2 linked regions of the Schizosaccharomyces pombe genome follow. Changing the gene in region 1 together with any one later gene gives a genetic interaction. Each region holds a gene or a part of one and is shown on either strand. Other genes may lie near its edges.

Region 1 (4,098 bases):
CTCAATACCATGGATCCTATGTTGTTGTCTACATATTGTTGTGCATTCACGATACGCAATAAGGTAGACAAAGAAAGCAAAAAAAATGCTATGCTTAAGATTCTTTTCAAAAATAAACTAACGTGAAACGTCAGAACCGAAACCCCCATAATTTAATAATGATATGTACAAGTTAACAATGACAGTTGTAACTGAAAACAGGGCAAATTTACCCGCTTGAGACGAATTTTACAGCAACAAAAGTGTAACGTTTTTATTGATAAATTTACCGGAGCTTTTCTTTCAATGACTTCCAACAACAAACGCGTCTAAACTAACAGTGGAACAATGCAAGTGTAAGTTATCACAAAAGCGAGAAAGGCAAAGCATTCACAAAATATGAAATGCTCAAAATGGGAAAATAAAAGCTTTTGTTATTGTTAGCCCGCACCTTCAAAACAACTATAACAATGTAGGATTGAATGGCGGAATAAATCAGGCAACCATACCAACTTGGAGTAAATCTTCTTGATCTTAAATAACAAAACTTAATTGGTTTTTTTTAAAAAGATTATGAAAAGAGCGAAGACTGCCAATTTATGGATATGTTATGTTGATGTCAGGTTATAAGTTTGACGTGGAACAGACGATGTGAAACCAACGCAGTAATCGTTACTTACCAAGAACCAAACACATAAAAAATGAGTTCTAATTCCAATACAGATCATTCTACTGGTGATAATCGTAGTAAATCTGAAAAACAAACGGACCTAAGGAATGCATTGCGGGAAACCGAAAGTCATGGCATGCCTCCCCTTCGTGGGCCTGCTGGTTTTCCTGTAAAGTATGCTCTCAAAATTTTTTAATATTAATTCTAATACAATATAGTCCTAGACCATTCTCTCATGGGGGCAATGCGAATTTGGATAGATTGAATTTAAAAGAACCCGTTGATTTGGAGGGTCCAAAAGACGAACAATAAAACCCATATGGACTTTACGGACTGAGTAATTGGCCTTATTCGTTTGTAATGAATTGAATCAATTGATGACTTCTATATATGCGCTTCATAAAGCAAAACTTCTATAGTAAATTTACCCTTTTGTAAATGATCCTTATCGGACTTATTTAAAGTGCGATTATTCAAATAAATTATTTAATTCTCTTTGTTAAATGCAGCTCTATACTCTAACATCTTCCTTCAGTAAATATGGTCATAATTATATAGATGTATCAATCATCAAACTGTGTTTAAGTTGAGAAGAGCTTTCGAAATATCATGAAAATATCCTCATAAACTTAAAAATAATACACGTATGATAATTTAATAATAAATAATTGAATAACTGTTTTTTTCAGCAGCAATAGGATCTGGTCTGTCTTTCCAAACGGACCAGGTCGTCCCAATTCGTAATTGAAGTCCACCAATTCGAAGTACTGGAAGGGTGAACCGGTCTACGGAAACTTAAATCACCATATTGTATACCTAAGGATTGATCTTGGGGATCAATTTCACCCAACTCAATCCTAGTTATTATGGTGGAGACAACGGAAAGAAAACACTCTTCAACGTTGCTTCCTGTATAAGAACTAGTTTCATGCGCACTAGATATATGCTTTTCTGAGCAAAACTCAGCTGCCTCTTCAGTAGAGACTTGTCGTTGGTTTTGTAAATCAGATTTGCTACCAGCCAATACAACACATATTGTTGATGGAGCCATAGCTCGAATATCAGACAGCCAAGACGACAATTCTTCAAACGAGTCCTTGTTTGTCACATCATAGACTAAAACAGCACCTGCTGCTCCACGATAGTAATTCCTAGCCACGCTTCGAAACTTTTCCTGACCAGCAGTATCCCATATTTGTAACTTGATTCTTTTTTGCTGGTTTCCCATTCCAACACTTATAATCCGACTTGCGAAATCGATTCCAACAGTATGTGATACTTGATCATCCCCTAATTTCCATTAAAAACTTGAACATTGTTAAATTTGCATGTACTTACATTGATTCTTAACAAATCTCTGTAACAAGCAGGATTTGCCAGTTCCCGAAGGACCTGCAAGTACAATCTTTACCAAATAGTCATATGATTCTTTGTCCATAATAATAAATAGAATTTTTGGCTTTCAATTGTTCTCTTCTTGACATTTCAAGCTCGTAGGCTCCGATATTGGTATGATGCTCTGGATCACGTAGCACTAACAAATGTAGACAACACCAAAAATATTATTTATTAACTTCTGATTAAAATGTTAAGAGGAAAATGAATTTCTAAAGGACGTAATATGCAACTTCACTTGATTGGCAATGAAACTATAACTCTAAGTTCTTGCATCTACATATCTACACCTAAAAATTCAGTTCTGTACTGTAACAAAACTAACCATCCAACATCAGCTTACAGAATGATTATATGAACATAGAGAAAAAAATAAAAAAATAAATGCAAATTGACTATCCTATGTCCAAGCCTCTATTGAACTGTCACAAAGCACACAAGCATATAATCAAAGTCAAAATGTCAGAAGAATCATGAAGAAAAGCCAAAATTTGCGCGTTATTTGGAATCTATGGGTACGAAATGAAAAAGTGAATAATTAAATGATCGGTCGGTGTGCTTGAGCAATGATGTAAAACTAATTGAAATTCTGCAACAATCCAGGCTTCTCGGCCTAATCTCAAGTATAAACCTCACATTCTTTCAAGCGTGGCTAACCGATTAAAGATTCTTTTGTTTTGACAACGCTAAACACTTAGTTAGTTTTGTTCCTAAGTTGTTCGCAGATTAATCATTATGATGAAACTTACGATTATAGCAAAGTAGCTTTTCGATTAAGTCGACATGAGTAAGAATCATACGACGACAACAATAACGTTGAAGGCCAAGTTTATCCAATGCCTCACCCTCTGTGTTATCCTCTTGAAGGAGTGTGAGATAGGTGTCCCACTTGTCACCAATAACCTGCTGTATTAGCAAGCAAATAATTAAAAAAATAATAGATAGAAATTCTTTGAACAAATAGAAATAAGCGTTCGTAATATACAAACATATGTATAATCGCCCCAAAAGTGGATCAGTCCTCGTTGGAATCAGTAGCGAAAATGGGGCTATTTTTAAACTAAATCTAATACCAAAAAAACTATAATCTAATGCTTCAACTTAGGCTAATCTTAAACTATATACAATACACGAAGCAATTGTGAAATTTTTCTACCGATCCATAAAAAATGTGAATCGCGTTCAACCACCTCCTATAAATAGCAATTTGTTTCCTTACCTTTCCACAAGAAAAGCAGCGAATAGGAATGATCATTTTTCTAACTTTGAACACCCGTCGCCTTCTTGACTTTGTTAGTGTTGTTGGCAAAGGGAAGGTAACCGTGCGTATTGGAAGGAGGTGTGTTCGCCAGGAAAAGTTTTATGCTACAACCAAGTATTTGGCTTTAACCAACCACCATTGCGTTTTAATTCCAACCGGTTTTATTATTTTTCGTTGGAGGAATAAAAATTATGGAAGGGCCTAATTCTATGGAAGTTGGTTCATTGGAGGTCAAAAAAAATGATAAAGACCCTTGGTCTAAAACTGCATATTTAGGGGGTCGTTTGGTTTCAAAGATCCCTGCAGTTTACTCTAATGATAACAAGTATGTTTTTTTTTATTAAAGGTTGGGTAGCCTTGAACAGACTGCTTTTGCTCAATTTTCTTAATTGAAATATATAACACGAAATGATCTGTAAGAATTTCATTCCTGTCTGTACTTGCCGCTGCTTTTCTAGTATTTTTCAGTTTTTAAGTTATTTTTACTAATTTTTAGATTTGTATTTCTTACTTATGATACTTTTATTGGAATTTTCTCTTTGATTACAGGAGATTGTATCAATCGAATTTTCTTTCCCAATAATTTGGCCAATTTATTACCCGTAGCTGTATTATTGTCTCCTGAGAATGCATTTGAGCTATATGTGATTTTTCAAAGCGGATACGTCTGTGTTCATGACTGGTCGAATTCTGAACTTTTGCGCACCATGGAGATTTCCACTCGTGTCCATGCAGCTTCTTTTTCCGGAAAGCTATTGTTTGCTGTAACCGATACTCCTGCTTCAGACTCTGC
Region 2 (5,036 bases), on another chromosome or scaffold:
ATTCCTCACAAATCGCGTATCCAGACTCTTTGATGCTAATATAATTAGAATCAGAACGATCTACAGCAATTGAAACACTAGAACGGCGAATGGGTTTAGATTTTCCAGTTGCTTGGGATGCATAAATTATATATGTAGCAACGGAGCGAATATTTTCAGAAACAAAAGCAGAGGTCATCAAAACTTTGAAAAGGAGGCGTAATATTGGAAGCAAATCCTTATGAAATAAACAATTTCTCATTGCCGTTAAAAGTTTTTTTAATATTTGCATTTTCATTAATCGTTTAACGTTAAAACCGGCATAATCATTATTCTCAATAAGAGAAACAATATAACCTAACTGCTGAACAAATAAATTAGAATTAGGTGCCTTGGACCATAAATCAAAATCTAAAATTAAATATCGAAACAACAGTGGATTCATTACAAGAGGATGCTTAAAGCGCGTATGGTGTACCCCAGACATTAAAGCAATAATTTTAAGAGTTTCTTCGGATACAAGAAGATGGGACTTTGAGTGTAAAATTTGAGCCAAAATTTCAAAAGAATGTGTTTGCTCAACATTCTCAGAAAACCTCCAGTTATCCTCAATTGAAGAGAAAAATACTTGCAATCCAAAGTTGAGCTCTGCCTCAGTCTCAGCGGTACCGACAAGTTCTAGCAGAATAGATGAACCACCTATATTGTAAATGGCATCACTAATACTTTGCATTATGATTGGAGTAACAGATCCAGAAGATACACCGAAGCTAGGTTGTTCAGCTGAGAATGCTTTATCATAAGACGAGACAGCTCGATTTATATAAACATGCGAATAATATTGATTCTCCAACTTTTTTAACGTTTCCAAAACAGAAAAAGAGCAAAAGTCAGAAAGTTGTAAGTCCATAATATCAACATAATCCCTTGCACAGCTCATGAAAGCGATGGGAGAACGAGAGAATGCTTGAATACTATGCAGTAAATCTTCGGTATTTGATTTAGAATCTTGGATTTCTAGAGTAAGAGCAGTAGACGCTTTGTAAGTCATATAATCATTGATTGGACCTTGAAAACATCCCGAATAACTTGGTCCTAGACTACTAATAATTGCTATTTGCGATGAAACTAAAGGAACCGGAAAAAACCGTGTTGTCCCTATTAATAGAGGTACTAGTGGAGGCACTTTCAAGGAGTCGTTAGTTTTATAAGACTTAGATGTCTTTTGAGATGCTGCTCCAGTGTTCTCTGAAACAAGTGCATCAGTTTCAGCTACATTAGGTGCAAGGGTTGATGGGGTAGATTGGTTCCTTGATCCAATGCTGGGACCTAAAGATACGTATAATGGCTGTAAGGTAGAAGAAAGAAATGGGTAAGGGCAAGCAGCGCGTTCAACAGCAGAACCATCAATATATAGTTCCAAGTTGGGAAGAGAAGATTTTTCGTTACGATGGACTAAGGTAATCAAATGCCACGAAGGTGGATTTAGACTAGGATTATCTTTGTAAATTTTGGAAAAAAAATTGGTAATAGGAGTTGAAAAGTTAACTACACAGGTATCTTTACTTGAGCCAATATGAACAACTACAGTCTTTTTGGATGCATCAAGTAGTAAGCGAAAAAGGGTTGATTTCAAAAAATCAGAGATGAGAAAAAGGGTAGTTGGGGCATAATTGCCATCATCGTTCATTAGAGACTCAATGTTTAACCAAAGGGAAACAGAATATCCATTAATTGGCATTACAGGAGAGCTCAGCGTAAAATCAATAGAAGAGTAACCTTTTGTCGAAGGATTAAAATAAAAAGATGGTGCAACAAGGTGGGAAAGAGCTTTTAATAACCATGTTCGAAGGAATTCAGACTTGGTTTTCAAATATGTACGTAAAACCTTTGCAGTAGAAGCATTCGACACTCCAAAAGTGGCACAATGTAATGTGATCTCATTGAGCAAATCTTTCGAAACATCCGACAATGGAAAAGAAGTGGGAGGCTCGAAAAGGTATGTTAAAAGGAAATGCATAGTTTTGGAATAACCAATTTTAATAGCGTTTTCAGGAGAAGAACGAATAAGTGCACGAAGGTGAAGTAGGATAAGATTGAAAATGGAGATAGAAGGACAGAGAAGAAGGACTTGGGGTAAAACATTAGGGAAAGCTAGCGGTTTGATGGAAAGCTTCTGTATTGCAGCTTCCACTACGCGAGATAACTCAACAAGAGATGCATTGGTATTATCTTGCAAAGAAGGTACAAGCTTCAAAAGCGAAAAAGTACTATCGTTTTGGGCAAAAGACAAAACAGCCAGAAGTAGCCTAGTTTTTAGGTAATATGCACTACATATCTTGGCCTTCTTTAAATCCTTACGATCTTCATCATAATCAACGTCAGAAGATATTGAAACTGTCTCCGATTGGGAATCAATCTCTTGCGCCCCTTCTGACTTTAAATCTTCATTAGGAGAAGCAGCTTGAATAGAAGAATCTGTCTTGGAAGAAGTACCTATTGCATAAATGGAAATATTGGAATCATCCTGTATAGCACAGAATGAATAAAACATTCTTCGAATAGCGAGCTCAATCCATGCCTCAATATGTTTTCTGGATAGTAACCAAGAACGCAAGATAGTATAAGAAGTTGCAATTCCTAATATTTGCAAGCAGCATTCAAAAATATCAAGACTTAGTAACGATTGAAAGTTTAGCTTAGTGACAGCCTTCTTAATGGCTGCAAAGCCATTGTCAGTAATAAAGAGTTGTGGAAAAAAATTACTGGGAATATCATTTCGAATGAACCCCCTCAATTTTCGTAACTCTTCTAACAGAACTTTTTCTGAGGGACAACCCTCAAGCCTCGATAACAACTCAACGCTTTTAGAATAGGCATTCGCCTTTCTGTCCATAGCAGCTTACTTGAATAAAAGATAGAAGAAAGAACCTAACAAAAATATTCGTTCCTAGCCCCTGGTGCACAAGTTTCGTATTTATTTCGATAAACTCTGGTCAAGTGAGTGTATATTATGAATAGGTCATGTGAGTTGAAGCAGAGAGAAATGGTTTTAAAAAAGAAAACGATTAATATATATAATCGATGAAATTAATGAAAATTGATGCTTGCTTAAATTTATCGTTATTGAAACTGGCAATAATAGTTCGTAGTGGTTGGCGGTGAAGTATAGCGGTGATAATGATTTCTTGCCAAACGAAGTGAACTATGAAAACTTGCTGTAGAAGAGAACTACACCAAATAGATAGTAAGTAAAGACAATTTATTTCTATTTCATTTATGCTTGTTGATTTTGAAGTAGGTGTCATCATTCTAAATTCATCTTATTGATAATTCAAAAACTTACAAACAACACCTTTCTAGTTTTTTCAAGTATGTTTACAAACTAAAATGAAAAGCAAAATATTTATTATATTTAGCAAACAGAAGTGTGAACAACATCGAAAGACACTTCATGAAATGAACGCTTCAATAAAACAGTCAAGCACGAGATCATGCACCCAGAACACGAACTAAAACAAACCATTCATCCCTCGAGCATTAAGTCATTGAATTTAAACGCATCTTAAGCATCCTAAGGTTAAACGACGCTGATTAAATGAGTTCAGCTTGGAAAAGACGGTATCTATAAAGAAAAGCAGCAAATAGCTGATAATATATTATTAAAAGTATATGAATGCAATGCCTTCTAATTAGATTAAACCCCAAGGCTCATCACACATAAAAAAGTAACCAATTTGCTTATGGCGTCGTAAAAAAAAGGCTTTAAACCACGCATAATCTGTCACCAGGATTCGTGTTAAGCGAAGATAAAATTATGATCATTTCTGCAGAAAATTCTCTCACTTTTTTCTGTTCCTGGCTCGAAACATATATGATAATGTATGAATAGATTCACAGGTAGTAAAAACAAATACCAAATGTATTATTAGCAAATGTACTAATATTAAAAAATTTTTCACCAAAACTTGCCATAATGAGGATATGATCATGAGGTTAGCATAGAATTTAAGTCAACACAAGATCTTCAGCCAAATAAGCTATGAACCCTCAATAAACTATAAGCAAAGTAACTTTCGCCATCCCAAGGAAAAAGCCCTGCGCTATCAACAAAATTAAAGGACGTCTGGAGGATAAAAGGCAAGTATTGGAAGACTCCAGATGAGAAGAAAATATAAAAATAATGTGCCCATGCTATATAATAATAATATGAAAGGCTAATCAATTAGGTCTGTTGATATATTGAGCTCCGGTTGCAGATGGATCATTTATAACAGGAACGGTTGTATTAATGTCTCCGCCTTTTTCATCAAAGTTTTGTTTTTGATAATTTCTAAATGAAGACCTCTCTGGCGGCGGATTAATAGCTTGAGGAGTTGCAGACAGTTGTTGCTGTAATTGCTGCTGATGTTGTTGGTCTTGTTGAGTCTACAATTTAAATGTTAGTAAATGTGACTATGTAAACTTCATAAAATATCATATTACATTGGTTTTCAATAACTCGGAAACCCAGAAAATAAAAAAAGCACTATTACCAAGATATCTCATACCTTTCTCTTCAAGGTCCAATCAAACATATAGTCAAACTCATAAGATTGCCGACAAAAAAGATCTCGGAAAAGCTTGCGAAGGTAGGCGTAATCAGGTTTGTCATCGAAACGTAAAGATCTCGTGTAATTGAGATAAATTGAGAACTCCTGAGGGAATCCCCGACATAAGACCTCTGTAGGCGTAGAGATCTTCTTCTCCATAATCTTTTCATACTTTTGCTTTTTCGTGGTAGCCTTCAATCCCTGCCAAGGCAGGCTACCACGACAAAAGTAGACGAGCACATAACCTAAAGATTCGAGGTCATCACGGCGGGATTGTTCAATACCTAAATGAGTATTGATGCTAGCATAGCGTGCAGTACCTGTAAGATTCTTGTTCTCGCGATAAGGAATGTGCAGGTGAGTTTTGTGATCACGATACTTCTTAGCCAATCCGAAATCAATTATGTTAACTTGATTTCCTCTTTTACCTATTCCCATTAAAAAGTTATCAGGCTTAATATCACG

What was found.
Region 2: of ypt4 (region 1) and lvs1, changing one suppresses a phenotype caused by changing the other (phenotypic suppression), as found in Schizosaccharomyces pombe (one study listed by BioGRID).

What each region holds. Positions count from the first base shown.
Region 1 is NC_003424.3:4,947,936-4,952,033, forward strand, and holds ypt4 (GTPase Ypt4), read right to left. Parts: upstream 2,178-4,098; 5' UTR 2,088-2,177; coding exon 1,988-2,087; exon of another isoform or gene 1,940-1,987; coding exon 1,335-1,939; 3' UTR 962-1,334; coding exon of another isoform or gene 868-961; 3' UTR 824-867; coding exon of another isoform or gene 681-823; 3' UTR 606-680; downstream 1-605. Other genes in the region: protein Hrd302, read right to left, coding at 1-149; SPOM_SPAC1B3.20 (uncharacterized protein), read left to right, coding at 681-823, 868-961; DNA-directed RNA polymerase subunit Rpb10, read right to left, coding at 2,705-2,730, 2,794-2,947, 3,264-3,299; U3 snoRNP-associated protein Nan1, read left to right, coding at 3,497-3,630, 3,802-4,098.
Region 2 is NC_003423.3:1,851,389-1,856,424, forward strand, and holds the start of lvs1 (beige protein 1), read right to left. Parts: upstream 3,137-5,036; 5' UTR 2,876-3,136; coding exon 1-2,875. Other genes in the region: serine/threonine protein kinase (CK1 family) Hhp1, read right to left, coding at 4,201-4,407, 4,530-5,036. UniProt on the Schizosaccharomyces pombe protein: May be involved in protein sorting and cell wall formation.